Drosophila melanogaster: one gene and its partners. The protein of the gene in region 1 purifies or fractionates together with the protein of each later gene. This does not show direct contact. Each region holds a gene or a part of one and is shown in the gene's direction. Other genes may lie near its edges. The genes, in order: par-6, Patj, l(2)gl and pbl.

The links.
Region 2: the proteins of par-6 (region 1) and Patj purify together in Drosophila melanogaster (affinity purification with western blotting; 2 studies listed by BioGRID). This does not show direct contact.
Region 3: the proteins of par-6 (region 1) and l(2)gl purify together in Drosophila melanogaster (affinity purification with western blotting; 5 studies listed by BioGRID, with this or other methods). This does not show direct contact.
Region 4: the proteins of par-6 (region 1) and pbl purify together in Drosophila melanogaster (affinity purification with western blotting; one study listed by BioGRID). This does not show direct contact.

What each region holds. Positions count from the first base shown.
Region 1 is NC_004354.4:17,699,806-17,708,361, forward strand, and holds par-6 (par-6), read left to right. Parts: upstream 1-3,546; 5' UTR 3,547-3,845; coding exon 3,846-3,920; intron 3,921-4,566; coding exon 4,567-4,795; intron 4,796-4,862; coding exon 4,863-5,614; 3' UTR 5,615-7,291; downstream 7,292-8,556. Other genes in the region: CG8188 (uncharacterized protein), read right to left, coding at 1,211-1,360, 1,501-1,971, 2,396-2,404; CG8173 (uncharacterized protein), read right to left, coding at 7,830-8,407, 8,484-8,556.
Region 2 is NT_037436.4:1,795,439-1,803,376, forward strand, and holds Patj (patj), read left to right. Parts: upstream 1-3,364; 5' UTR 3,365-3,485; exon of another isoform or gene 3,486-3,515; intron 3,516-3,543; exon of another isoform or gene 3,544-3,571; 5' UTR 3,572-3,710; coding exon 3,711-5,261; intron 5,262-5,321; coding exon 5,322-6,386; 3' UTR 6,387-6,746; downstream 6,747-7,938. Other genes in the region: Cdc37 (cell division cycle 37), read left to right, coding at 262-294, 355-558, 740-1,399, 1,464-1,736; CG12020 (uncharacterized protein), read left to right, coding at 1,927-2,911, 2,976-3,091; JTBR, read right to left, coding at 6,797-7,255; CG42676 (uncharacterized protein), read left to right, coding at 7,772-7,889. UniProt on the Drosophila melanogaster protein: Involved in cell polarity establishment. Probably participates in the assembly, positioning and maintenance of adherens junctions via its interaction with the SAC complex.
Region 3 is NT_033779.5:16,751-23,738, reverse strand, and holds the start of l(2)gl (lethal (2) giant larvae), read left to right. Parts: upstream 1-2,362; 5' UTR 2,363-2,673; intron 2,674-2,765; 5' UTR 2,766-2,908; intron 2,909-3,718; exon of another isoform or gene 3,719-3,723; 5' UTR 3,724-3,794; coding exon of another isoform or gene 3,795-3,854; 5' UTR 3,855-3,859; intron 3,860-5,168; exon of another isoform or gene 5,169-5,478; intron 5,479-5,570; exon of another isoform or gene 5,571-5,713; intron 5,714-6,526; 5' UTR 6,527-6,602; coding exon 6,603-6,686; intron 6,687-6,988. Other genes in the region: Ir21a (ionotropic receptor 21a), read left to right, coding at 1-745, 804-996, 1,052-1,820. UniProt on the Drosophila melanogaster protein: Essential for the development of polarized epithelia, for cell polarity associated with asymmetric cell division of neuroblasts during development, and for oocyte polarity formation.
Region 4 is NT_037436.4:7,906,583-7,913,777, reverse strand, and holds the start of pbl (pebble), read left to right. Parts: upstream 1-1,823; 5' UTR 1,824-2,319; coding exon 2,320-2,356; intron 2,357-4,439; coding exon of another isoform or gene 4,440-4,617; intron 4,618-6,439; coding exon 6,440-6,656; intron 6,657-7,195. Other genes in the region: CG8281 (uncharacterized protein), read right to left, coding at 125-1,171.

The sequences.
Region 1 (8,556 bases):
TTTTACTCTTTGCCCTCGTTTTGTGTGTGTTTGTTGTGTGAGCTTCAAAAGGATGTTCGAACGAAAGGAGGGAGAGAGAGCGAGAGAGCAGCGGGCGTGTAGAATACCGGCGACATAGCAAGCGAAAGGACGAGGATACGGATATCCCATGCACTTATCACCGTGCCATTGCTTTCCAATCCGCTCCAGGCCATTCCATTCCGATCCGATTCGCGTCGAGGGTTTGACAATTTGGAAGCACTTAAAACTAAATCTCTACAGAATGTGCAATCAATCTTTTACAGTATTTCTTTAATAATTTTATGTATTTTTCGTGATTTGTGTGGGTTGGATGCATGGGTGGTGTGTGTGTCCTTTGTGTATCTTATGCCTAAGCAGGACAATTGAATGTAACGAATCGAAATTTTATTTATTTATGAACTAAGCGAATACAATTTTAAAAACACACAAAAAAAAAAAAGAAATCTAAGGGGTAAGTTTATGTTTATGAACGGGGGTCCAATACGCGGACTCACCCCAAATGAGCGATTATAGTGCTCATTAAGGTATGTGTAAGGTGATGCTTTCTAGAGAGTTCTGGGTGTTTAAGAGGTGGCATGTATGAGGCGATAATGTTATCCTTGTTTTGTTTAATCTAATTACATAAATTATGCTAGGATAGCCCATGAGCGTTAAGAAAAGAGAACTACATAAATTAATTGGGTGATGGTTGCAATCCCCATTTCTCTTGGTTGCTTTATGTTGGTTTTTGTTTTCTATATTCTAGGCTCAGTTGAAAGCGGCGTGCCACCAAAAATGTTGGTTAAAATAATCGTATATGGTAACTGGATGCACTGTTCTTTGGAGTGGTTCTTTATCTCTCTCGTTTTACCGAAATTGTTGCAGCTTTAACTTCCGTTCCGTTCCGATATTGGCCTCCAGGGTTCGGGTTTCATCGGTTACTTCGTAATTTCAGTAGCTCAATTTACTTGTTTTTTTGTCTGTTTTGTTTTTTATCAGATCAGTGTAAAATTTCATAGCGCGCCTCCTCCTTTGATTCGACCTTGCTAGCTTTGATCCTGTCGCCTTTCACCTGTTTGTAGGGTTTACGCTCGCACTCATCCATTCTTTAACATCTATCCATTCATACGTATCCGACGTGTTCTGCTACTGCTTACTACTTACTGCTCCTGGTTGATTAGCTAGTCCATGGAACTCCGCCTTATGCCTCTCATAATCTCTTCAGCATGCGTTTCTTCTCCTTGAGCAACTTCTCCTTCTTCTTGTCCTGCAGCTTCTTGTCCAGGCCCGCATGCTTCTTCGTCGAGGGTCCACCATCGTCTTTGGCATCGCCAACAGCGCCTACACCGCATTTGGCAGGCTAAAATAAAAGATATACATATGTATGAGCTAAGTGTGTAAAGCAGCGTGATAAACAATATCATATTGGGATCATTCAACACCTTATGCTAGTATTCCAATGATACACAATCATAACAGAAGGGAAAACCCCTAATTTACCTGGGCATGGATCTCTGTCATCATGCGCGCCCTCTGTGAGTAGTCATCGTATCGTTCCAACAGCATCTTGCCGGCCTCCTCGTTCAGCGCCGATTCCGGATTCGGGACAATAAGCAGGCATTTGATGGTGAGCAGAATGTGCTTGATGCCCAGATCCGGCTTCCAGTCCTTCTTTAGTGTGTTCACACAGATCTCCCCGTTGGCGGCCACATTCGGATGAAAGATCTTGGTGAGGAAGTACGCCTTGGGTGGCGTCAGCGGGAAGTCCTTGTTCAGCGTCAGTTTGACGCGGAAAATTCCAGCGGCGTACGGAGTGCCAGCAGGTCCATCGATCAATGCCTGAATATCCGTCACATCGCTCTCATTGATTAGCACCTTGATGCCTTCCGGTGGCGTGGTTTCCATCTCCTGCAGCTCCCTCATCACCTGCCTTATCGTCTGCGGCGACAGGTTCTCCACATTCGAGTATTGCTGCAAATGGGGGAATGGCATTAGTATGGAATGGCAAAAGTTTATATATACAAAAATTGATTTTAATGACAGGGTTGAGTCATTATTTCTAGTTGGAATTGTACTTATTGGAACATACGAACTTTAAAAATGGATGGCAAGTACAGTACAGTACTTGTAGGCAAGGATTATTACATACAAACTTAACTAACAAAATCACATGTCTCCACAAACAGGGTATTTATTAATGAAATTCATACTCTTAGTATGCTGGAAAGTATTTGTAAGGACGCGATTTTAAGCTCTCACTACTAAACCATTCATAAGATTAAGAAGCATCTGTTGGATAGGATTCTTTACAATCACGGATACAACTTCTTAAGAATCGTTTCGTATTATTATTATTAGAATGCTAACAATTATGTGAGGAACATGCTCATCCTACCGAACTCATGATGTCTGAATTTCCTGCTGCTGTGCGTGTGTGTGTCTGTGTTGATGCGGGCCTGCGCTGGTGTGCGTGCGAATCGCTGTCTCAAGGTTTCAGTTTCGTCAGCTTATTCCTGCAGCTGAGCTCTTCGGCTCTCGGATAGTCGCAATTTCACCGCCTTTTCCCAGCTGCCTTGGAAAAGTGGTCCCAAAATATATGAATATGTGCGTTGTGGGCTGGCTTTAACTATTCCTTTGCGTGTAGACTCCTTATGCTTCCTTTGGCCCCGCTAGTCTCCTTGTCTGTTGTTTGGGTTTATGTTTTCACACGCACTCGTTTAAAGACTATATATATATATGTATTTGGTATAGCACCTCCTCTCGAAAATCTTGATTTTTAGTTTTTCTAGCGACTTAAAATTTTGTTTCGTTGGTTGCTTTTGTTTTGAAATCGATTCGCTCAACTTTGTCGTAGCTGCTGTGTGACCTATCTCGACTCTGGCGTTCACATCTAAACAAATTCAGTTGTCTAATTGGACACTTCACGCTCGACAACAACACACAAAAACAGTTTCATTTTACAGTAACCCTCGTCGCTGGCGCTGCGCTACAATTGGGGCATATTCGTGCTGGCGTCTTGCCTGCCTTCGATTTAAAAGCGGGTTTTTATTTATTTATTTAAAAAACGTCTTTGATTAAAACTGAGCATTTAAATATAGCTAATTCTTGTCTTGTAACAGTTAAGCCTCTTTTTTCGTGCAAACAGCAGCCACTTTGCAAATGTAGCGCATCTGAAGATCCACCCAGCCCACACAAACAAACTGTCTCTACACTAACGCAGCAACATGGCTGCTCAGACTCTATCGATATATCGATATATGCACAACATCGGTTCATGCCTAAGTTACTCTGGGAAATATTTAAAAACAAACAAAGAACATACCGTTATTAAAAAAAAAAACTTATTGTTGTGATAAATTCAAAACCTTTGCTAGCTATATTGAAAACAAATTATTATTATTTCTAAGTCTTTTTAGATACTTTCATTGTTGTTTAAATCTATTGCTTATAGCATATTTGTGGTATTTTAGAAAACTGAAATGGTATATTTTGGTTTTGCATTCCCCACGGTCACTCTGGATCTATTACCATCCGATAACCGATAGTGCCTACCAATATCGAAGTACGATAGTGCCCGATAGGTTCATCCATCCATTTTTTTTATTTAATTAGTTTTAATTTAGATTTCTAACTCTAATTTATTGGCGGCCCCCCACTATCGTCGCTCCCCGCCATCGGTACGCTGCACTTTGGTTCGGTTTCGGTTCGCATCGGGCGTATCGGTTCGATTTCGATCCTGAAGATCAGATCAGAATCTGCGGAACTCAACTGCCGTGTTTTGTGTTGTGTGTGAGGAACGGAGAGGAAAACTGTCAGTGCACTCTTGATCGGGCGGATCGGAGAAAATGTCGAAGAACAAGATAAACACAACGTCCGCAACGGCGGCCAGTGACACGAATCTAATCGAGGTGAAATCGAAGGTGAGTCCTAACTTTCGTGGCCCCCGGATTCCACGCCCCTTTCTGCGGCGCTGAGCTGCTGATTCATGCGCTCAGGAATGGGATTAATAGCTTAAATTGGAGTTCTGTGCGTGGAAAGGGGGTCTTTAGTCTGAGGAGCAATGTGTCTACCAATTTGGGAACTCCTATCTGTTGAGCTCGATTGTGTCAAAGCGGCCAGAGCAGGGATTAATGCTTGGAGTGCGAGGTGTGAGGAGCAACTGGTTTCCATCTTAGAAGCACCCCAAAAGTGACAATTTGCCCTTGCGAATGCATCTTACTTGTCGGAATTCCTGAGCTCTGATATGGATTGTTGCAACACCCTTTATTGCTTGGGCTCTTTGCCTGAAAACCAATCTGTTGCGCCTTACTCAAAAACTACCCTGTTTCGTTCATTTTCTGTAATTTTACAGAGAAGGAAACTTCAGTTATTAATTAGTCAAGGTACAATTCTTCAAGATAAACTCCAGTAATAGCTATAAGGCAGTAGATGTACTGCAATTCAGTGAAGGTCCCATTAAATTAGTAAAATGTCTGCATACAATTGAATCAACAGGTGATGCTGATGAACAAACTATACGGGTTTCAAAAGATTCAGCCCCTTTACTAATCAATACGTATCCTTTAGTTCGATGCAGAGTTTCGGAGGTGGAGCTTCAAGCGAAATGAGGCGGAGCAGAGCTTCGACAAATTCGCATCCCTCATTGAGCAGCTGCACAAGCTGACCAACATCCAGTTTCTCATACTCTACATCGATCCGCGGGACAATGATCTGTTGCCGATTAACAACGACGATAACTTCGGCCGGGCCCTGAAAACAGCACGTCCACTTTTACGGGTCATTGTGCAGCGAAAGGGTGAGTATGGGTATGCATAAGATACAATACGAGCCACTCAACCACAATCTTTTCGTTCACTCTATAGATGATCTTAATGAGTACTCTGGCTTTGGAACGATGAAACCGAGAAACCTCATCGGCAGCATACTGATGGGCCATACGCCAGTGAAGACAAAGGCGCCATCGATATCCATACCGCACGATTTCCGTCAAGTCTCGGCCATTATAGATGTGGATATAGTGCCGGAAACGCATAGAAGAGTGCGGCTACTGAAGCACGGCAGCGATAAGCCCCTGGGATTCTACATACGGGATGGCACCTCTGTCAGGGTGACGGCCAGTGGGCTAGAGAAGCAGCCGGGCATTTTTATATCCCGTTTGGTTCCGGGCGGTCTGGCCGAAAGTACTGGCCTGCTGGCCGTCAACGATGAGGTGATCGAGGTAAATGGCATCGAAGTGGCTGGCAAGACTCTGGATCAAGTCACCGACATGATGGTGGCCAACAGCTCCAATCTGATAATCACCGTGAAGCCGGCCAATCAGCGCACACTGACGTCCACACATCGCGGATCCTTTTCAAGGAACAGCCAGCTGTCCAGTGGGTCACATCACACTAATAATACAAACACCTCCGACGAGATCGAGCACGACGATCAGGACGATATTGTGGACTTAACGGGCGTCACCCTCGACGAGAGTCCAACGTCCACGTCAGCCGGCAATCACAACCATCAGCCGCCATTATCCTCATCACCCTCGTCGCACCACCAGCAGGCAGCCTCCAATGCGTCCACGATAATGGCCAGCGATGTCAAGGATGGAGTGCTGCATTTGTAGGATTAACCCGGCGATACAGCACCTCCAGCAGACGCAGCCAGAACTTAAGCAACGGAAAACGCGAATTCATCGCTGAGAAGTGCAGAGGATTTTCAGTTTATCAGACTTAACTTTCCTTAAGATCGAATAAGTTCGTTAAACTCGAGTCAATTATTTAAAGTTATACAAGTTAGGCCAACTTATTCACATGTACACTGATCGCTTGTATATCGCTCACTTACTAAAGCGACTGTCATAGCTCAACCAGCCATGATTTGAAAAGTCACCTTATAAAATCTATTGGTATTAGCCTGAAAGCCTGATTGATTGAGTAAACAACATATCGGCCATATCCCATTCATTTCTTGTTAATCCTGGCCATTCAAATTTAACGTTCTGCAAAATTTCCAGTCCGATTGTAGGTGAGCAATATATAAAACACGATTGTATATACATGTGTAATCATCATACGACTTTCCTCCATACATTCCACGAAACACTCAAAGTCAAAGAAAACACACCTATTCATTTGCACGTTTTTGAATGCAGTCTCTTGTTTTTATCTTTTTTCCTGGCATATATATATATGTGTATTTAAATTTGTAAGATTTACGTCTTGTTATTATTCTTGCTTGTTGTATTAGACTAGAGTGAGACAGCTAGAGGAGAGAGTGAAATAGAGAGAGGGCATCAAATGCTGAAGGCAGATCAATTTATTTAACTTAACCATTTGAAACGGCAATAATTGTAACAAAATCACATATACGAGCACGAATAATTTATAAAAAAAAAAAACATTCCATTTTATGTACTGTGACAAGTCGGAAAAGCCTAACAAAATTATATTTCCTGATTTGTAAGCCTTGTTTTTAATTTGAGCCGATCATTTTGCGTATATCTGCTATGTTTTGTTTAGCTCAATTTCTTATTTTTTCGGCATTACTCATTATATCTGTTTATTTTAAAAACCATTTGTAATTTTTAACTTTTGTTTTTTCGTCATTGTGTCCAATACTCGTCCAAGTTCTTTGTTGTCATTGTCATCACTTAGAGTTATGGAGAAAGGATAGAAAAACGAGGAGATAAAGTTAACAAAACGTTAAGATACAAACGAAACACCAACAGCGCCTTCGCCTTCAAGAGAGCAATTCGATACTTTTTATATATATACAAGAGAATATATAAACGAATACAATCTATGTTATGTACGTACCCCTGTACACACAATTGAATTGAAGTCTGTGTATTCGCTTTAGTAAAATTGAGAAAACGCCACTCACGGCAGATGGGATGCAATGCGATCTGCTCGACTTGAAGTTAACAATATTAATATTTATGGGTCGCAACGGGCATAACTAACCCCATACGAACGTGTACCCTGGGTAGATAGCAAGATCTAGGATAGACAGCAGCGAATCTGAAACTATAACTAAATGCGTATCGCCGCCCAACCACTCCCCTCATATACCCATTTCACATATACCCTTGCATTATCGAGAAATCTGAACTTACATCGAACAAAAGTCGCCAGAATATCCCGATTTCCAAGCAAACGCATGTATATATATATATATACAAAAGCTAATGTGTATTCCCGCTAAGCAACTGAAAAGACCGAAAAGCAAATCACGAAAGAAAACCTTATATTTTGATGTATGTATTATTATTTTTTAATAAACCTAAGAGAACTTGTAACCGATCTGGTGTGTAATTGGTTTTTTCCTGGGAGGCTATAGCAAAACAATGTAAGTTTATTGTTTATATCACAACCAATTCGAGGCGTTAAAGTATACAAAAAAGTTAAAAATGATATTCGGTTCCTGCATTTATAAACGAAAAAATTGTTTCCCTCTGTAAGCAATACTTTTCAATTCAACTGAATTGCTTTCACTTATTTTTAGCTTACAAAAATCAATTTAAATACATTAGCCGGGCCTTAATCAAAAAAGATCTTACATATACCCTTTTGAAGACTGCGAATTAAAAAACCAGTTAACGATATAGTTTTTGTTCCATTTGGGGATTCGATTTATTCGACCACTCTTTTGCTTGCTGAATATGTACAATTTGCTTAAGTGTGCATTCGCGTTTTGGGGCTTTAACCGTAATTGGTTTGTTCTTACAGGGTAAAAATTATAGCTAATTAATTGTACATTCAAAACAAAAATGAGTCATCTAATCAAATTATATTCAAGAGGAAGATTGTGGAGTTCGGAGGCTGAGAATGATTATCAGTCTAATCGCTTTCTGTCGCAACATTTGCGCCATTGTTCTCCAGGCACTGCCAAATGGTCTTGGCCGCTGGACGATCCTCGCTGAGAGCATTTGTGCACAGATAAAACAGCTCCACGACGCAGTTGTAATCGTCGCTAAGTTGAAAGGCCACTGGCAATGGTGGTCGTGTACCATAGGCGGAATGAAGGTTATTCAGTGTAAAGTAAGAGATATCGTTCTCCTTCGTGTCATCATCTTCTTCATCGTCTTCCTCCTCCTCTTCCTTCTCCTCCTCATCATCCTCCTCGTCATAATCTTGACTCATATCGTTGTCTGTGTGTTCTTCCATTGCAGAAGGTAGTCCGTTCTTGTTTTCATCGCTGGAGAAGTCCAACTGTTTGCACTGCAGCTTGTCCGTGTCGGTGGGTAAATCGTGCGAACTGTCCATATCCTCTCCCAGTGCTGCATCAAGCTCCAAGGTATGTGGAGGCACCAAAGCAAGGGTTTCGTAGATAACCAGGCCAAAGCTGAATATGTCTGCCTTGCTGTCAATAACATCCACTTCGTCTATGACCTCCGGTGCGCACCAGAGGTTAGTTCCTAAAATATTAAGACATAAGTGGTTAATTTGACTGAATGTGAAATTATTTATATCATATGGGGTCAGTAAACTCACCCACATAGCGCAGTCCGGGATTCTTTAGGAAATTAACCTCGCCCTGCTCGTCCAGCGGAAGAGAGACTCCAAA
Region 2 (7,938 bases), on another chromosome or scaffold:
GTAGATGTAGATGAGTAGTAGTAGATGATGTAAATAAATTAAAAACGACAGGGTATTTCAATTCAATCTGGTGCACTCATGCATGACTACTATTTCCTAGCGCGGCCCCAGAGTAAGCGGGGCTTATTATGGTATTATTCCGCAATAGCCCTGCGGTCACACTAATTTCCAGAGCAATCCAAAAAAAGGAAGCAGCCGAAAAAGAACAAAAACCTGCAGCATTTACATTCAAATATAAATCCGAAGCAAAGAAACAGCAAAATGGTGGACTACAGCAAGTGGAAGAACATCGAGGTGAGCCCACTGCTGGGTGCCAACCCAAAAAGTCCTCCTAATCGGCACACTACCTTTTAGATTTCGGATGATGAGGACGACACTCACCCAAACATAGACACGCCTTCTCTGTTCCGCTGGCGGCACCAGGCGCGCGTGGAGCGCATGGCGGAGATGGACCACGAGAAGGACGAGCTTAAGAAAAAGCGCCAGAGCTACCAGGCGCGCCTCATGGACGTCAAGGAGCGGATCTCAAAGAAGGATGGCGACGAGGAGGCCCTGAAGGTGGGTCATTGCACCGAATGCACTGCGCACTTGTTGCTTAGGCTAATGCCTGGTCTGGGAGTTCCCTATGTTCTCAATCCATCTAATTTATTCTTATTGTCAAGCTTATGATTGACTATCATCCTAAGTGGCCATCCATCTTTCATCGCAATGCTTAATCCCTAATTTGTATCGCCTACAGAAAGAGCTCGAAAAGATCGAGGCCGAGGGCAAAGAGCTGGACCGCATCGAGAGCGAGATGATTAAGAAGGAAAAGAAAACACCCTGGAACGTGGACACCATCAGCAAGCCCGGCTTTGAGAAGACCGTAATCAACAAGAAGGCCGGCCGCAAGCCGGATGAGAATCTGTCCGAGGAAGAGCGAGAGCAGCGCATGAAGCAATTCGTCAAGGAGAACGAGAAGCTCTGCCAGCAGTATGGCATGCTGCGCAAGTACGACGATTCGAAGCGGTTTCTGCAGGAGCATCTTCACTTGGTGGGCGAGGAGACGGCCAACTACCTAGTCATTTGGTCCATCAACCTGGAAATGGAGGAGAAGCACGAGCTGATGGCCCACGTGGCGCATCAGTGCATTTGCATGCAGTACATTCTAGAGTTGGCCAAACAGCTGGACGTGGATCCTCGCGCCTGTGTCAGCTCCTTCTTCTCAAAGATCCAGCACTGTCATCCCGAGTACCGCGCGCAGTTCGACAGCGAGATCGAAGGTTTCAAAGGACGTATCCAGAAGCGTGCGCAGGAGAAGATCCAGGAGGCGATAGCCCAGGCCGAAGAGGAGGAGCGCAAGGAGCGCCTCGGACCTGGTGGTCTGGACCCAGCCGATGTCTTTGAATCCCTGCCCGATGTACGTTCTAGTGATTCACTGTATGGGAATTACTTGACTAACTTTTCATGTATTTGCTCCGCAGGAACTAAAGGCCTGTTTCGAGTCCCGCGACGTAGAGCTGCTGCAGAAGACCATTGCGGCCATGCCCGTGGACGTCGCCAAGCTGCACATGAAGCGTTGTGTGGACTCTGGTCTCTGGGTGCCCAATGCCGCTGACTTGGAGGGTGACAAGAAGGAGGAAGATGACTCGGATGACGTCGCCGGTGGCGAGGAGAAGACCGACGATGCCAAATCAGAGAGTGCAGCCAAGGAGGAGCCCATCTACACTGGCGTCAGCACCGAGGACGTTGACTGATCGCCGCCACGTTTCCATCTACACCATAGCTCTAATCTTAATGTATTTGTCCACAAGCATATTTCATCCATAGCCAGATCCTGCGTCAGTTGAGTTATTGTATATAATTTGAATAAATTCTCAGTCACACGTCAAACATTCTGTGAACACTTCTGCCAGTTGTTATACGCTTCGACTCCGAATAGAAACAATGAACCGGCCGGAGCTGGACTACTACGCGGTGCTGGATCAGCCCAGAGGCGCCACCAAGGAGCAGATTACTCTGGCCTACCGCCGCCTGGCCATTCGGCTTTGCCCACATCGCGACAAGAAGGACGAGCAGGACTTTGTGCCGCTGGCCCAGGAGGGTCGTCTCACGCACCTCTCACCCATGGGCGAGCCCAGGCAGTGGGCCTACGTCAACATGGCCTTCGATGTGCTGGGCAACGATCTGTACCGGGCCATATACGATCGCTTTGGCGAGGCGGGTTTGTTCGAGGGCGTCATGCTGCCGAACGGATACTTTCCGCCCTATCAGTACGACGGCGACCACATGAAGGTCTACGAGCGGGTCTTCGGTAGCTACTCGCCGTATGCCAACGTGATCGATGCGATCTCCAATCCACCGAGCTTGTACGCTACGCGCCAGCATGGCATTGGCGTGCGTTCCAAGGACGCCAGTACGGAGAGGATCATCGAGCTGTCGCTGGAGGAAGTACGCACTGGCTGCGTCAAGCTGATGAACGTGTGGCGCCAGGAGATCGTGGACGCCAAGGAGTCGCGGCTGGAGAAGCGCAAGCACACCTTAAAGCTGAACATTGCCCCGGGAACTACGGCCGGAACTCGCTTCTGCTTCAAGGAGGAGGGCGATCGCTATCCGGCCACCATTCCGGGTGATATTATTTTCATTGCCGCCGACAAGCCGCATCCGGACTTTGAGAGGAGAAACCAACACGACCTGGTCTACAGGCAGTCTATTGGCCTGTGCCAGGCCTTCACCGGCTTCACGTTCTTCATTTGCACGCTGGACCGGCGCCAGTTGAAGGTGGTCATTACGGACGTAGTGCAGCCGGGATACACCAAAGTGGTTCCCCTCGAGGGACTCCCCAAGTGCCGCAATTTGGATGCAGTTACGGCCATCAAGGAGGCCAACAAGAAGGTGGAGCAGTTCGGGGATCTCATTATAGAATTTGATTGTGGGTTTTCCTTTTCTGTTGGAGGTTTCAATAGTTTCTGATAGTTTCTCTGTTTCTTCTGCAGATATCTTTCCCAAGTACTTGACTCCACATATGAAGCATATCACTCGCGAATTCTTCCGCGAATTCCGCAAGCTCGAAATAGAATTGGAGGAGGAGGAGGAACGTAACATGGTTTGATGGCAGACACCTTATTGTTTTTCCGTATTTGGAACACAGATATTTGTGCGTACAGAGAAATTAAATTCAAAATTTGCGTTTAAAAGGATAGATGTTGTTGGGTTATTTCGTATAGCCATATTACATACGAGCACATGCAGACTATATTCAAAAATCTTAGATTTAATTAAATTAGCAGATGTAACGGTCGAATTTGAATTGATTTTGAAAAGGTGGCAACTGTTCCGATTATGTCGATTGCTTATCGATGCACAACGCAGCCGCTCGGCAACCCTGTCCATCAGCTGTTTGTGAAAAGAAAATGCATTTGGCATTCCATTTCAGAGATAATTAAAAATCAATTACAGCAGCAGCAGCAGAGCAAGTGGCCACCGAAAAGAGTGCATAGGAGAGGGTAAACAACTCGCTGCATCCAAACGGCACAGTAACTGATCCGAAGCTGTCCCACTTAGAGCCCAAATCGAATTACCCGTTTTGCAGTTTAGGACAAAGTGTGCCAACGCCACAACGCCCCCACCCAGAAGTCCATAGAAACGCCAGCGGAAGTGGGATAGAGACGGGGACCACGCTCCACTGACCGCACCGCGCACCGCTCGCTGACCACGCCCACTGACGCAAGATGCACCTCAGCGCGGATATTTCCAGCGCCCTTCAGCAGATCGAGGCAGTGAAGAAGGGCATCGATGAGTCCGACGACCCCAAGCTGCAAATGCAGACGGCCGAGAGCCTTAGCACCATTCTGGGCATTCTGCAGGATCCCGTTTTCCGCACCATCGTCCACGTGCAGGACTCGTTGTCCGAGCTGAACGCCCAGCTGGCTCAGCATCCGTCCATGTTGCCCAACGACTTCGACATCGATGTGGCCGGCAACCTTGTACTCAGTCTGAATGGTGGCGAGGTGATGTACGACTTTGACGAACAGCGCTCTTCCTCGCACTCCCATTCGGCTCCGGGCAGTCCAGATAAGTCCGGAGGCGTCGGCGAGGAGCCGCGCCCGCAGAGCCAGAACTCCAAAGGAGCCGGAGTGGCGGATCTCTACGCCACGGACTACGCTCAGATCCAGGCCATAGAGCTGGTCAACGACGGCACGGGTCTCGGATTCGGTATTATTGGAGCTCGCAACTCGGGAGTGATTGTAAAAACCATCCTGCCGGGTGGCGTGGCCGATAAGGACGGACGCTTGCGCTCGGGCGACCACATCCTCCAGATTGGAGACGTCAACCTGCACGAAATGGTATCCGAACAGGTGGCTGCCGTGCTGAGACAGTCTGGAACCCACGTCCGCCTAGTGGTTGCCCGTCCCGTTGAGCAGAGCGTGCCTACGCCCCAGTACGCCCTGGAACCGGGCACTGCTGTGGTGCCCACGCGCGTCCTCGTCGATCCTGCCGAGCTGGAGCGGTACCTCATATCTACCGGCTATCCGGAAATCTTTGGCGAGAGCTCCACGGCCTCCACTCCGCAGACCACCACGGAAGACGATCGTTTCGTTTATCGCGGCGAGACATCAATGCTTATTGATCCAAACATCGACCTAGAGGAATTGCTTGCCCTTCCTGAAACGGAGAAGCTTCAGGTGGAGCTGAAGAAGGATGCCAACGGCCTGGGCATCACAATTGCCGGCTATGTGTGTGAGAAAGAAGAGCTGTCTGGCATTTTCGTAAAGAGCGTGTCGCCCGGTTCAGCAGCGGACCTGAGTGGTCGCATCCGGGTCAACGATCGCATCATTGAAGTTGACGGCCAGTCGCTACAAGGCTACTCCAACCACCAGGCCGTAGAGCTGCTTAAGAAGTCTGGTCAGGTGGTGAACCTGCGCTTGGAACGCTACCTGAGGGGCCCCAAATTCGAGCAGCTGCAGCAGGCTATCGCTGCGAATGACAAGCTTCCATCCAGTGCACCTGGAACGCCTTCAAGGGCTCCCATGCCCACGCCCGTGGCCACAACGTCCTCCGCCACAACTACACCATCACGCAGCATCACTCGCGAGTTGGAAGAGGAAGCCTTACCAGCGCCAGAAGCATTCATGACCACTCCGCCGTCGGTCACCACAATGACCACCACCACATTAAGCTCCTTTGGAGCGGGTAAGCAACTAGTAGCAGTAAGGGACTCCCTAGACGGCTCCACGAAGATCATACCCACGGAAGTTGTACCCTTGGCGGATAAAACGGAGGTGAGTATTAGCTAACGGGTAACACAGCAGCAAAACGTATAGCGCATTAACATGTTTTAGGCCAAGAACAGCGGGGTGATCACCCGTCACAAGTACTACACCGATCCGGAACTGTCCGACGACGCCGAAACCGAAATTATTCGCAAATGGCAGAAGATTGTGGGCTCCGATGTGGAGGTGATTGTGGCCCAGATCAAGAAGTTCGCGGTCGGAGGCTTGGGGATTTCCTTGGAGGGAACCGTGGACGTAGAAGGAGGGCGCGAGGTACGACCCCATCACTATATTCGTTCAATCTTACCTGATGGACCCGTTGGCGTGAATGGAGTACTCCGCTCTGGCGATGAATTGCTGGAGGTAAACGGCGAGCGGTTGCTGGGTATGAACCACCTGGAGGTGGTGGCTATACTTAAGGAACTGCCGTTGGATGTGCGCATGGTTTGCGGTCGCAACAGGAACAGCTCGCTTCTCCCATTCTCTGATGACACCCTGAAAAAGCTAAGCAACAACTTTGAGAACCTGCTGCCTGCTACCGATCGTCTGGTGAAGGCCAAATCAGATGGTAGTCTGGCCACCGCGGGCTCCGTGGCCGATGGAGATTCAGTGGCTGCCGCCGCTGCTTCGTTTAGTAAGCTGAAGTCGCGCTCCCTGGAGCCACTAACCGGATTGGCTATGTGGTCGTCCCAACCGCAAATTATCGAGCTGGTCAAGGGCGATCGCGGTCTGGGCTTCTCTATTCTGGATTATCAAGATCCGTTGGATCCCAACGATACGCTGATTGTAATCCGTTCTCTGGTCCCTGGAGGGGTGGCTCAATTGGACGGACGCCTTATACCCGGAGATCGACTTTTGTTTGTGAACTCCATTAACCTGGAGAACGCCTCGCTGGATCAGGCAGTGCAGGCTTTGAAGGGTGCTTCGAAAGGAGTGGTGCGCATTGGTGTGGCCAAACCACTGCCCATGACGGACAACTCACTGAAGGCTTGCAGCAATGCGAGCACCACCAGCGAAGAGACCTTGGACGCCCAGCCATCGCCTCCAGCCTTGCCCACAGTTGCTCCGCCCGCCATGCCGCCTAGTGCCTCCATGGGAGCTGAGCCCGACCTGATTCCCGACTGGCGGAACTAGGGTGTTACGATAACGAAGAATTTCACACATTCCAGGCATTTGAATCTTTAAGCCTGTTTTAAATCAAATCAAACGCGGTTGCTAACTAATGGATTAGTTAATCGATATTTTCTACGAATATGAACAACAGGCAGTAGAATCTGAAACGATGTCAGAAACGATGCCAGAAGTACAGGAGCGATTGTTATTACCGAAGCAAAATGTTATGCATATTATTAACGCCGAATTGTGTTTGTCCCCTGAAAACAAGCATTCCACAAGTATGCAATATATTAAACCCCCTAGTATTAGCAAATGAATTTTAACATGGTATTTCCAGAGTGTATGTACTTAAACTAAATTAAATAATGTACCTTCCGTACGGTCAATGAGTATCACTTGGGGAAGGGAATCGATGATTTGGCGGAGGGCTATTGGACCCGGTTTAGCTGTCGCTCGATTCTCATGTAGTTGCGCCTGGACAGGACTCGATCGCGGGCATAACTGACCAGGTAGCTAAGTAATCCGATTACAAAGCACGAGACCTCAAATTTCAAGAAGTTCATTTGCTCGATGAGCGCCACCCGGTCGCAGCTCCTGGTTACGATCTCGCCGCTCTGGCAGCGCAGCACCTCCTTGTAGTGCGTGTGAATGCAGACGCCCAAGCTCCGGCTGACTATATCGAATTCGGAGCACGGGTGGCACTCCTGCACCATCGTGTACTTCTCATTCCGCCAGCAGGTCGAGTTGTCCTCGATCACGAATTGCGGCTCTCGGCGACGAGGACCATCTGCCGCGTAACGAGATTCCACGAACAGGACGAGTATGGTGACCATCGTTAGGGCTCCTAGTCCAAGGAGCATGTGGTGACGCTGACAGTTCTCGAGCATTGTGAAGGCGGGCAGCTAACTCTTGTATCGGATCAAGTGCTGGAAACAACCTGGAAGAACCTATGCATGCTCAGTAGGTGGATAACTCCAATACATATGGACGGGATTACTCGAAATCCTATTGCTTTGCTTTTCCCCCTATGAAATCAGCTTTACTGTGTGACCAGGCGAGAGTTTTTATTTTTGTTCAGCCGTCTTTGGAACTAGTTCTTGCTTGGCATTTAAGATTATATATTAAAAAAAAATTGAATTTGCACATGCATAGATTTCGTAATTTAGATAAAGCGTTAAATTAAGGGAGAAAATAATATTTTTCGAGGAAATCTTATAAGCCGCGTATTCCGCTCCGATTCGCGGAACTGCAGATGTGTGGCCAGACTTCGGGGAGCTCGAAACTAGTTCGCTGTTTACGAACGACAATAAACGGAGACCAAAACAATTACGGAGGACAAGCACAAAGCGGACTTGAGAAATTTGTGAAAATTTTTATAAATCGCGTGTGTGGGCGCTTTGAAAATGGTGCTGCGATCGGGAATCATAATTCCGTTTCAGTTTCGCGACACGAAGAAGCTGCTGATGATCGGGGTGCCGCAGGAGAACCGCGACCTAAACATATGGGACCTAAAGAACGTGGGTAAGCACTGGTCTGGTCGGAGAGGGGGAGGTGGCTCAAATCACGGAGC
Region 3 (6,988 bases), on another chromosome or scaffold:
TTTGGGTTTGCGGGACACAGATTTCAAATTTCAGCCGCAAATCAGCCGCCGTTTATTTTTCGAATTCGCACTTTAGATTCCTCAGGAATGGGCCAGTTGCGTTGGGACGGAGTTGAATTTCGTCTGCTGACAATGATATCTAAGCGGCTAAACTTTTCGATAGATATCACTGAGACCCCAACACGGTCGAATACGCGCGGGGTAGTAGACACCATCCAGGAACAGATTATAGAAAGAACAGTAGACATTGGTATGTCCGGTATATATATAACACAGGAACGGCTGATGGACTCAGCCATGTCGGTGGGGCACTCACCCGATTGTGCAGCTTTCATAACACTTGCATCGAAGGCGCTGCCGAAATACAGAGCCATAATGGGACCGTTCCAATGGCCAGTCTGGGTCGCTCTGATTTGCGTTTACCTCGGTGGAATATTTCCGATAGTTTTTACCGACCGTTTGACACTTAGCCATTTAATGGGTAATTGGGGTGAGGTAGAAAACATGTTCTGGTATGTATTTGGCATGTTCACAAACGCTTTCTCCTTCACCGGAAAATACTCGTGGAGCAACACGCGGAAAAATTCCACACGCCTTCTAATTGGAGCATATTGGCTCTTTACAATTATCATTACATCTTGCTACACAGGTTCCATCATAGCATTCGTAACGTTGCCAGCTTTTCCGGACACCGTTGACTCTGTGTTGGATCTGCTGGGATTGTTCTTTCGCGTTGGAACCCTGAGTAAGAAAAGGTTAGGCTCGCTACATTTGTATATAATATTTGGGCTTCTTACTTAAAGACAATGGTGGCTGGGAGACCTGGTTCCAGAACTCGACCCATATACCGACGTCTAGATTGTACAAGAAAATGGAGTTTGTCGGGTCCGTAGATGAGGGCATTGGCAACGTTACCCAGAGCTTCTTTTGGAACTATGCCTTTCTTGGCTCAAAGGCTCAGCTCGAATACCTGGTGCAGTCAAATTTTTCAGATGAGTAAGATCGATCCTTTATTTTTAATCTTCCCACCGTAAACGATATCCTCTTTTAGAAATATTTCCCGCCGATCGGCGCTTCATTTGAGTGAAGAGTGTTTTGCTCTTTTCCAAATAGGATTTCTGTTTCCCCGAGAGTCAGTGTATAAAATCAAAATCGACTCGATGATATTACTTGCCCAGCAAAGTGGTCTTATTGCAAAAATCAATAACGAGGTAAGCTGGGTCATGCAGCGATCATCTTCAGGACGCCTGCTCCAGGCAAGTTCTTCGAATTCCTTACGCGAAATAATTCAGGAAGAGCGCCAATTGACTACAGCGGACACAGAAGGAATGTTCCTGCTCATGGCACTGGGCTACTTTCTAGGAGCCACAGCCCTGGTATCCGAGATCGTCGGTGGGATTACCAACAAGTGCCGCCAAATAATCAAGCGCTCCCGCAAGTCGGCCGCCTCCTCTTGGTCGTCGGCGTCAAGTGGGTCAATGCTTCGCACTAATGCCGAGCAACTTTCCCATGATAAGCGAAAGGCCAATAGACGCGAGGCTGCTGAGGTTGCTCAAAAAATGAGTTTTGGAATGCGCGAGTTAAATCTTACCCGCGCAACGCTTCGGGAAATATACGGAAGCTACGGGGCACCTGAAACAGATCATGGTCAGCTAGACATCGTCCACACTGAGTTTCCAAACAGTTCTGCAAAATTAAATAATATTGAAGACGAAGAATCTCGGGAAGCTCTTGAATCTCTGCAGCGTTTAGACGAATTTATGGACCAGATGGATAACGACGGCAATCCTTCCTCACATACATTCCGTATTGACAATTAATCACAGAAATTTTTAAATGCAAATACAAAATAATCACTTTAGTGCACATGAAATTATATGTATTGAAATAAAAAGTTTGATGCAACAACAAATTTTACAGTTGTTTGGTATTTTGTATGGGAAAGTTTGTGGCAATATATGGTTTTACTTGAAAGCGGATTGGACATGGTCACACTGCCCACAAATCACAACATTGCGTTATAAATGAAGCACATCTAGTTTTGTGTTAAGAAAGTGGTTCACAATTTATATAGCAGGTTATGGTAAAACATCGATCGTTCCGAAAAATTCCGCTCGTTGGCACATTTTCTAAATTTTTCGTGCGACAGCGGTGATTATTATATGATATTATTATGATTATATATACAAAAATTATTATAATTATATAAAAGTTGGCGACCATATCAAAAAGGTTGCTATAAAAACAAATGGCAATTTATAGCGGAGTTTCACTCCCAAAGCGATGTTCTCCACCCATTCCAGTCAGTCATGGTAAATATACCTTCTAAAAAATATATGATTTTTTCGATAGAGATACACGGGCACACTAGACCCACCGATCGCGACTTTGTGTGTGTTAAAATGACGCGCATATCGTTTTGGGCTAATAATATTGTTCACGTTTTATAAAACAGATACACGGTTAAGCTCTGACCGGTCGTATTATTATCTGTGTGTTCTTGGTTGACACGTTTATTTCATTTATTCTCATTTAAAGCAACGATGTGAAGAACAGTGCGGGCGTTTCTCAACATAAGAATACATACAAACTTATGCGTGATGGTGAGCAAATAAAATAGTTCAAAAAATTACTCGGCCACCGCCTTAACCGTACAAACGGAAATACATAAAGGTAAAGGGCTCAACAACAGTATTACTGATTAGGCAATTGATTTATATTTCAAACTTCTTAAATAAAGTGTCCACAAATATGTATGTTCTTAGCATAGAGGCGTAGTCGGTGAGTCAGCCACGCCAACAGTTAACAGTCGTCATTTTGCTGTCTGTCTAACACGCAATTTGTGTGTGTATATGTGAATAAACAGATACCGGTATGCAATCGCAAAGCTGGTCAACTGTAAAGATCGGTATGTACTCAAAATTAGGTCATCACCTTGTTATGCAGATACATTTGGGAAACAGTTGACTTACTTGGTATTGGTTATCAGCCGAAAAGCAAATGGTGATACGGTTTTGCACCTCAGCTTACTCACGGATACATACCTACGTACATAAATGTATGTATACGGTATACAGTCTTAGAAAAAATATTAGTACCGACCAGCTAGCGTTTGCCTAAAACGCTTTTACAAAAATAAACGTATATGTTTTAAGTTGTTTTTTGTCCTAATTAATACATTTATTATTATTTATTTATGAATTTTAGAGCTTTAATAGTAACTAAATTGTTTAAACAAACTTTAAAAAAGATTTACAAATAAAAAAATATTTCGTGTGCGTGACGGAATTGCTAGTTCATTAAAGGGAGGTACATATGTACATACATACACATTGCAAAGAGTACAGATCGCTCATCATTTCATTTTTCCTAATGTACATATACATATGTACAAACATGTTTATTAAACTGCCTACATGCAAATCTTTGAAGTTTTAAGAAAATAAGCACAACTAGTTTGGAAAATCTTGGGAGCCAAGATCTATCTGTCCACTGATTTTCCTATGACTTCAAGAATGTAAAACCCTTTTTGTTAAACAAATTTTGATTAAAGTATACCAGAATAATATTAAACGTATCGTCCGTATCTATAAAAGGTATTAATAGTATTACCTAAATTTAAATTCTCGGTTTTATTCATAAGAGTGAAAAAATATACAAGTTCCTTTTTAATTTTTTACTTATTGAAAATTTGATTAATTTTTATTATTATTTTCAGTTTAGAATAAATTCGGCCACAATTAATATACTTATTTATTCATCAAAACCAAACCACCACAAGAGCATAACCAATCATGTTAAAGTTTATCAGAGGAAAAGGGCAGCAGCCCAGTGCTGACAGACAACGCTACATCGTAAGGTAAAACAAACAATTTTCTCTTTCCGTTCTATTTTTTTTTTTTTAAGTATTTGTAGCCGATTGGTATATTTTGTGGGGTCATTTATTTTGATCTTGGGTGGTAAATACATTTTTATGGAAGTTAGAAGAAAGCTTATAATTTATGAGGAATAAATAAATACCTCCTTTTGAATCTTTTGTTATGTCTTCTCCTATGTGCATACTTTTGGGCATTAACATTTAGGTAAATTTTTTCCACCGCAACTACAAGTAAACCGCATACACACACAGTATTTTGTAGACTCGCGCCACAAAGCACCGCATAAAAAAGGTTACGGTGCTTTTTTGCTCGTTTCTTTTGTGCACTCCTTCTATGCGGTGCCAAATATGAGGAGGTACCTGAAGCTTGGTTGATTTTGTGAGTGTCTTTTTCCACAGCATATTTTTGTGTATTGGCTACTTTAAAAATTCTATTATATCGTTGTGCTCGTAATGTTGTCCATTCCTTTTAAATATTTTCGAATTAAATATACCATAGATGTTTCCCTATTACCATAATAGTTTAATAAATATACGTATATGAAATTTTTTTTATCCTATGTTAGTATAAACATGTTATTCAACAAATAAAAGTAGGTCAGAGGTAATCGCCATCCAGCTCCAGAAAGAGGGGGGAGCTGATAAGATTGCGTTTATGTACCTAATGGGTTGGGTAAGTGGCTTGGTTTCACAAACACCCTTATTTCAGGTACAAAATAAGTATGTCATAGACGGCGTAAAATTGATAAGATTTTAAAGTCAAAAGAAAATGAGTTTATTCGCCTGTAACTGCGTTAGAAATCCAAATACACCCGCAATATTATATGTATAGAAAGAAAAAGTTTGATGCAACAACAAATTTAAAGTTGTTTGGTATTTTGTAATGGAAAGTTTGTGTCACTAAATATGGTTTTACTTGAACGCAGATTGGACATGGTCACACTGCCCACAAAATCACGACATTGCGTTATAAATGAAGCACATCTAGTTTTGTGTTGAAAATGTGGTTCACAATTTATATAGCAGGTTATGGTAAAACATCGATCGTTCCGAAAAATTCCGCTCGTTGGCACATTTCCTAAATTTTTCGTGCGACAGCGGTGATTAATTACAAAAATTATTATTATAATTATATAAAAGTTGGCGACCATATCAAAAAGGTTGCTATAAAAACAAATGACAATTTATAGCGGAGTTTCACTCCCAAAGCGATGTTCTCCACCCATTCCAGTCAGTCATGGAAAATATACCTTCTAAAAAATATATGATTTTTTCGATAGAGATACACGGGCACACTAGACCCACCGATCGCGACTTTGTGTGTGTTAAAATGACGCGCATATCGTTTTGGGCTAATAATATTGTTCACGTTTTATAAAACAGATACACGGTTAAGCTCTGACCGGTCGTATTATTATCTGTGTGTTCTTGGTTGACACGTTTATTTCATTTATTCTCATTTAAAGCAACGATGTGAAGAACAGTGCGGGCGTTTCTCAACATAAGAATACATACAAACTTATGCGTGTTGGTGAGCAAATAAAATAGTTCAAAAAATTACTCGGCCACCGCCTTAACCGTACAAACGGAAATACATAAAGGTAAAGGGCTCAACAACAGTATTACTGATTAGGCAATTGATTTATATTTCAAACTTCTTAAATAAAGTGTCCACAAATATGTATGTTCTTAGCATAGAGGCGTAGTCGGTGAGTCAGCCACGCCAACAGTTAACAGTCGTCATTTTGCTGTCTGTCTAACACGCAATTTGTGTGTGTATATGTGAATAAACAGATACCGGTATGCAATCGCAAAGCTGGTCAACTGTAAAGATCGGTATGTACTCAAAATTAGGTCATCACCTTGTTATGCAGATACATTTGGGAAACAGTTGACTTACTTGGTATTGGTTATCAGCCGAAAAGCAAATGGTGATACGGTTTTGCACCTCAGCTTACTCACGGATACATACCTACGTACATAAATGTATGTATACGGTATACAGTCTTCGAAAAAATATTAGTACCGACCAGCTAGCGTTTGCCTAAAACGCTTTTACAAAAATAAACGTATATGTTTTAAGTTGTTTTTTGTCATAATTAATACATTTATTATTATTTATTTATGAATTTCAGAGCTTTAATAGTAACTAAATTGTTTAAACAAACTTAAAAAAAGATTTACAAATAAAAAAATATTTCGTGTGCGTGACGGAATTGCTAGTTCATTAAAGGGAGGTACATATGTACATACATACACATTGCAAAGAGTACAGATCGCTCATCTTGCATCTCATTTTTCCTAATGTACATATACATATGTACAAACATGTTTATTAAACTGCCTACATGCAAATCTTTGAAGTTTTAAGAAAATAAGCACAACTAGTTTGGAAAATCTTGGGAGCCAAGATCTATCTGTCCACTGAATTTCCTATGACCAAGAATGTAAAACCCTTTTTGTTAAACAAATTTTGATTAAAGTATACCAGAATAATATTAAACGTATCGTCCGTATCTATAAAAGGTATTAATAGTATTACCTAAATTTAATTTCTCGGTTTTATTCATAAGAGTGAAAAAATATACAAGTTCCTTTTTAATTTTTTACTTATTGAAAATGTGATTAATTTTTATTTATTATTTTCAGTTTAGAATAAATACGGCCACAATTAGTATACATATTTATTCATCGAAACCAACCCACCACAAGAGCATAACCAATTATGTTAAAGTTTATCAGAGGAAAAGGGCAGCAGCCCAGTGCTGACAGACACCGCCTACAGAAGGACCTTTTTGCTTATCGTAAGGTACAACAAACAATTTTCTCTTTCCATTCTATTTTATTTTTTTTTTTTCGTATATGTAGCCGATTGGTATATTTTGTGGGGTGTCATTTATTTTGATCCTGGGTGGTAAATACATTTTTATGGAAGTTAGAAGAAAGCTTATAATTTATTAAGAATAAATAAATACCTCCTTTTCAATCTTTTGTTATGTCTTCTCCTATGTGCATACTTTTGGGCATTAACATTTAGGTAAATTTTTTCCACCGCAACTACAAGTAAACCGCATACACACACAGTATTTTGTAGACTCGCGCCACAAAGCA
Region 4 (7,195 bases), on another chromosome or scaffold:
AGAGTCATCTCAATATTATTTACAGGTTTATTTATTGTTGATTTTCATTGTTGAGCCAAATTGATCGCATTTGCCATTTATCCCTCGGCCAATAAAAACTTAACACTTAGTAACTAAACTAAAGTTAGAACTCCCTGATGCCCGCACTGGTGGTGGTGCTGCCCGGTGGCCCACCTCCTCCCCCGCTTCCGCTCGCTCCCGACACATTGGGCTTGGATTCGCTGGAGGTGTGCACACTGGGGCTCTGTGATTTGTCCTGCTCCTCGTGACCATTTGGCGTTTCTTCGTAGCGAACGTAGGGTTCGAAGCTGTTGTTGATTTGCACAGATCCGCGATGCAGATTGTTGGACTCGGCCTCGAAGAGAATCTCGTTGATGAAACGTTCGGCCAGAAGACGCTGCTCGCGCGGCAGTCGCTTCAGTTTGTGCGTCCAGGTGCGGGCGATGGACTCCTCCTCCGGATATGTGCCAGCCAAATACTCGCAGGCTATGTTGAGTAGTTCGTCGGTGTTGTGGGCGGTGCCTGTTGCCCCAGGACCGCCAGTAGATCCGGCTCCTGCTCCCGTACATGGCGGCGTTTGCCTGGCTCGCTTGCTGCTCCCATAATCCACATGGTTGGTTGCTGGCGGTGGCGGTGGCGGAGCTCCAAATGATTTGTGAAACATCTCGGAAATGTTGGGCGTCTGACCACCAGCGCGTGGTGCTGGATAATGGAGGGCTGCTCCCTGGCTCTCCAGAAACGCACTCGGGCAATTGCTGCTCTCACCGAAGGCGAAGTTGGGCTCGTTCTTAAAGGCGGGATTGACGGCTAGAAACTTCTCCGAGTTGCGCAGAAAGTCCAGCTCCTGAAAGGTCCAGCAGCGTGGACTGTGGAGGCTGCCCGATCGCAGGGCACTCTCCACCACCTTCAGCTCCTTGCGGTAGTTCGTGCGCAGTGTGTTGATCTTCTTTTTCACATCCTCCACGGTGGCGTCCCGCTTGAGATAATGGTATATGGGCACCAGGCGCAAATAGGCCTCCGCCCGCTTCTCCCGATTGGTGTAGTCCCGCAGCGATGTGTCCCACAGCACGGGCAGATCCCTGTATGTCTGGATGAAGGCGCGCAGATAGTGTCGGTTCTCCTCCGCTCCCGACATCACCTTCAATCCGTGCGGCGGCGTTTGTGGCAGCATTTTGCGCGGATCTCTGGATTACCCTCTGCCAATCCACGCCAGCTGCAGTCCTTGGCTATCTTCACCACTTCAGCGAATCCTGGATGGACCTATTGACCAACTGTCAATGCGAACGAACTGTGTTTGTTGTAATTGCGCGTTTGACAGATTGTTTGCCATATTGACGTAATGGTTGTGTGCGAGTGTGCGTGAGCGTGAAGATACAGCAACAAGTGCGGACGTAGTGGCAATGCTTGTCACTGGTATCGATACTTCGCCAGCAGTATTTATCGGTCAACTCGTTGTTATCAAGCGCGTATATTTAAACAAAGTAGCACAAAAGCAAGTAGTTTTAGGCATTCATTTATTAAATATATGAGCAAGCATACATAAAATTAACTGTAGCTTATATAGCTTGCATGAAAAATATGATTGGAGGCTACAACTGCAACAATAGTAGGATATTACCAAATTTAATTTATCGACAGGCCAAAAACAACTTAAACGAAGAAAACAGTTCTAATTGATTGTTAATATAGTGCAGCTTACAACTATTTTATAGCCATAGTCGTTTAATTTAGTTATATAGCATTACAGGGAATACCTTCAACCCCTTGCAAGTGTGACCATTATTTAGCGCCGATTGATTCTGGTATTTCGTTCATCACATTTGCGCGTATTTCTTGGCGCCCCCGCGACGGTTACACTGCGCGGCACACTACAGCGAAAAAAATTCGAAACAGACGCGTTTGTCCGTTGAGTTTTGATTTGTGATTCCGACGCGCAGCCGTTGAGCGCAATTCGCTTACATTGTTGATCATTTTGTTGGTTAAATTGCTAAAGCAGGTACGCGGTATCGCTAACAAGAGGACGAAGAACCGGGCGACGCTGCCTATGCGCGTCTGTGTGTGTGTGTTTTCGTGAGCCGCCGCTTTTTAATTAAATAATAAATAAATTGTAACAAAAAGTAGAAAAACAAACAAACATGGAAATGATGCGCGCTAAATGCATGAAAACAGCGTCCAGTTAATGAAAGTAAACGAATCGAGTACAAACGAATTATTTGTCTCCTTGTGCGTTCGTTCTATTGTGTTTCGAGTTCTGTTGGTGTGTGTTTTTGTGTATGTTCCACGAGTTGTTCGCCTTAAAAAAGTAACTGCAGAAGATCCATGGAAATGGAGACCATTGAAGAGCAATCGAAGTGCGGTGAGTACTGAAAGAGGGCGCGGGGCGTGGCAGCTCCAAATGGCCGGCGAATTTATCATTTTTCAATGTCGCCCAAAGGGGTTGGGTACGGGGTAAAACCACATTCGGGGCCAAAAGATCCTCATAAAAAATGTCGCTGCCAGCAAATGCAAAAAAATAAAATGAAATAACAACGACTATAAGTACATCTTTGTGTGTATTTGTGTGACTAAAAAAGCAACGGCATCGTGTCGCAGATATTTTAATCTTTTTTTCTGAATTTATTTCGGTGTAGAAAATATTTATCGCATAAATGCGAAATGCCTCCCTCTCTTCATCATCGTTTCCCCTCACTCTCCCTCTCTTCGGCGACACTGTACCGACAGCAAGAACAACAACAACAACTGAGGCGCCCTAACTGTTGTGAGAGTAAAAAGAAAGGACAAGCAACAACAATTTAAGCGATCAGTTCCTGTTATCATTGATGCGAATTCAGCCGTTTTTAGCCATGGAGTTGTAGCTATAAAAGAAAGTAAACAAGAAACTATCGAATCTTAAAAAAGTAAACAATTAACAAAAGATAGATTTAGGTATTGATGGGAAAGAGAAATCTCTGCTATAAAGTTTTTATTATATTTTTAACATTTTTATTTAACTAAAAACAAAATTGTTTCTAGGCAATTAAAATTGTTATACTTTCCATAAGCCTACGATTTCCGCAACGAGAACGTGTAACTGCAAATACCACACAATTTCAAAGGTTATTGCCTTAAAAAATACGTGTAAATATGTTGTACGGCAGGAATTTTTCCAGCGCGCGGCATAAACAAATAAAATTATCATTTAATGTATTTTGTGTCCGAATTTGAGGCGCAAATAAAGCATATATCAATTAAAAGTTTATAATTTGGTTAGGTTATAAAATCAATTCTCCTTTGATGTTATTTAGCCTTTAAATGTGCATATGTATGTAGATACTTTTGAAATCAACTCTACATGATATCTTTGTGTACTTATTCTGTCTGCTCCGCTCTAATACTTGCCGCCAGGTAAGAAGAAGAATTTATCCTGCTCGACAGGCTCTTCGCTCCTTCTACTTCCTCCTCTTGTTGCACAGAATCCTTGATCCTTGCTTTCCGGGTGGTTTACCTACCCCGCTGGCCGATTACCTCGTATTCCATTTACACATGTTGACAGGGCGCACATGCCCATACAACTATGACTATATAGCCTGTAGTCCGTGTTTTCCGTCCCTCAATGCTAATGGCATTTTACATGGCCCGCAGACCTTCGGAATCTGCTCTTCGCCTACGTCAAGGCTTCCGCGGGATACGTACGTAATTTTATTACAAGATTTTTCTTTGATGACTCTGCTCTGCTATTTGACAAAATCCGCTACACAGCGAGAAATTGGTTGATTTTATGTATAATTTAAACTTGCAGGTAAACTGAGGTTTTTTTTTCTAGAGATTTAAAGTAATTTTCTAAATATTATTCCAAAATTACAAAACGTCTTTCGTTTAAAACACAATTTTTTTACATAAAATATTTTATTTTTGGATTTCATTGTCACTTAAAAATGCTTTTAGGTCTAGGTCAAAAGCAATAGACACGAGAATTTAAGTAAAAATCAAAAATTGTCATTTTGGGTTAACTATGATTTCGCATAGGACATTTTTCGCTGCGTGGCTGAATGCCCAGAAACCCACACACACAGCCCTCTTCTTCCGATGGCTTTTCATTTCTCAGATGCCACTCAATTAGTTTTTCATCGTTTCCCTGGCAGGCAGCCAGCGAGGAAAAGTAGAAAATAAATAACAACAGCGGATTTTGTTCGGGCAAAAAGGAAGGAAATTCCCGAATGGCGAAAAATGGTGGCCGCCACCTGTGAGTCTCGGCACTTTCTCACACTCGGAAATTTTGCTTACCATTTTGCGTTTACCTTTTCTCCTGACCTCACTTACATACCTTCTTCTTCTTGTTTGAACCGAAGAAGCTACCACCTGTGGCCATGCAAAATGCGATTTCAGGTGTTCCCTCAGCCTGAGCTCGTCTTGCATTTAGTTATGTTTTAGAGCCCGATCCTTGAGGATCTGCGAACAAAATGTTACACTTACCGCTGGTGCAGTTCAACTTTGGCAACCATTTGGGCAAAAAGAGCAACAAAGTGGTCACGGTTCAGCGACAATCCGCCTCCTATTTCACATATGCCGCCGACGAGGAGGTCAAACAGGCGAAGCTTCGACAGGCCGCCTTGTGTCAGGTGTACGAGGATTTTACAGGTATTTCAAGATTCCCAGATAAACCCCTTCAGGTACTCGTTTCCAAGGGTTGAATATGCGCAAAAGCAAGAGCAACATATTCGCCAGAGGGAAACTTAAGTAGGGTAAAGTCTTTCGTGAATCATCCATCCATTCAGCCAGACCATCGACAAACACCTGGGAAAGGTGCAGGAACAGTAAAAATAACTATGTATTTCATAAATAAATATATTACTTTCCGAGGAAAGCATTCGATGTCATGTTAAGGTGATATTGATTTAAATGCCAGTCAAGCAATTCGTGGAAATAATAAGGCGCATTAAACTTAACAATATGTTTCGTTTAATAGCTTAGAATGCATCATTAAAGAAATTGTTCATATAAAAAATTATTCGCAGAATTAGCATATATGACTTTTCATCGCTAAAAGCCTCTCGAATTGAATAAATCAAACAATTTTTTTCACATTTAATGATGTGGACATTTGTGCGTTTTAATACCCATATCAATCTTCTACAAATTCTGAATTCCCATGGAGCACATTCCGTATCACTGGTTTTTATTGGATTCCACATTCCAGTGATATTCCTACCTTATAAACATTTTGTTAGTCCATAAATCGCCACGATTTCCATTAGGTAAATTGCATTGTTTATCGCTTGTTTTGGGAATGCATATCTGGAATATCTATTTGAAAATTCCGAGACGTCAGAGATGAGAATACGACACGAACTGTAGTTCTTCCTCAGCATTTTCCTGGACTTTGTTCAATTGCACAAGTGGCGAATGTCTCGCCAGATATAGATACAAGTGTATATAGATGCAATTGGCATCGGTTACAGCTGCACAATTCTGGATAAAATTAATGCAACAAAGCCGACCGCCGTCAGTGGTCTCCACTTGCTCCATGTGGTTGTGTCCATGTCGATTGGGGGTAAATGATTTGCACTTGAAAACATTCCCCATTCTCCATTCCCCCAAGTCCATTCTCACTCATTTCGAATACTCTACTTTCGCTGCCTGTCAAAAACTATGGCAATAACGAAGGTCGCTTCATTTCGGCGTCTAAGAAATCGGCACAATTAAAATTGTTGTCAACAGCTCGCAATTTGGCAGCTTAATGCTGCGGCTTCTGCTGACCAGGCCCCCATCCGCCATCCGCCATCCGCCATCCTCCATTCTTCATCTTCGATCTGTAGTGTACATGTTTACTATACATCCTCAAGGGGTTCTATTTTGGTTAGCCGCTCTGCTCTGTTTCCTCGCATTTCTTTGTTTTATTTTGCACAGTTTTCCCTCGATCTTTTACCCCCTCCCCCCCTCCCCCTATTCACAGCACATTCAATTGCATAAACAAACAAATCCAAAAAATAGCCATTAATCAAACAAAATCTTTTCTCCAGTCGCCTGTAAACAGAAGCGAGTTGAAAGTAGTGTATGGGTTGTTGAAGGGTCACACGGATATCGAACTGTAATTAATTATGCTGCCAATAAAATATTTATTTTCTTAGCAGTTTGTTAAAATTGATTTTGTTGGGAAACATTCATAAATCACAAATATTTTAAATAAGCGGAAAAATACTGTATTTTGGCCTAAGAATAATGTGTGTTAAATTTTCGCATTGGTTTTTATATTGTGATAGTCTAGAGTATTTTATATAATGTAAGATTGAATGGAAAAACCCCTTTTTGATCGACACCTATGAACGGCATATTTATTTGCTTGATTTACGCCTGACATGCACTTAACCCCATGCCATTGGTCATTTCTGATTTTTGAGAGCACACAATGCATGTTTCTGATTTTTTAATGACTTATACCCATTCATTTCGCCCCATCCAGAGATGTCCATAACAACGCTGCCCACGCGCATCTGCCTGGTGGGAGGCGTTGGCCAGGATGCGGACACGCTGCAGGCAGCCGAATCCTTTGGCCTGCCCATCGTTACGTCGGACACGGGTCTGGACATTCTCGGAGAGTCGTCGGACTGGCGGACATTCTACGTGCTGGATGACTTCGAGGGTGCCAGCTTCGAGGCGATACACAAGCAAAAGGAATGGTGAGTACGATTAGAACCTATAACTAGTCACTGGTACTAATAATAACTCGGCCAGAAGCTGAGGAACAATAAGGCTGCTTAATTTAGACCAAATCTGTCACATGTGTCCAGCTGTCCGCCCCCACATCCTTCTCCTTACTGTACAACCCACTTTTCTCTTCTTTCTGGCTATGAAGAGATGCCTGAACAGTCAAGAGCCATTATCACATCGCCATGCTGAGCCGCAGCAAATTGAGTTTGAAATCGAGACACACGCACGAGTATACTACCTATCTTCGCTCCAAGAGCCCCAATGTGGATCCACTCGTTGGCCACCAGTTTCAAGATTGACAGCGTCAGCCATGCGCCAGATATACCACACGGCTCCTCTGCCCGCTTCCTTCCGATTGCATACCCTTCCTCGGGGTATTTGAATTGGGTAAACAGTGTAGTTTGCTACAAAACATTTCGATTTGTTTACACTTTCGTATGTATTGCGTGGAAAGAAAGTTACGATTGCTCGATGCCCATAAACTCATTTGAAGTAGTATCTTTCAGCA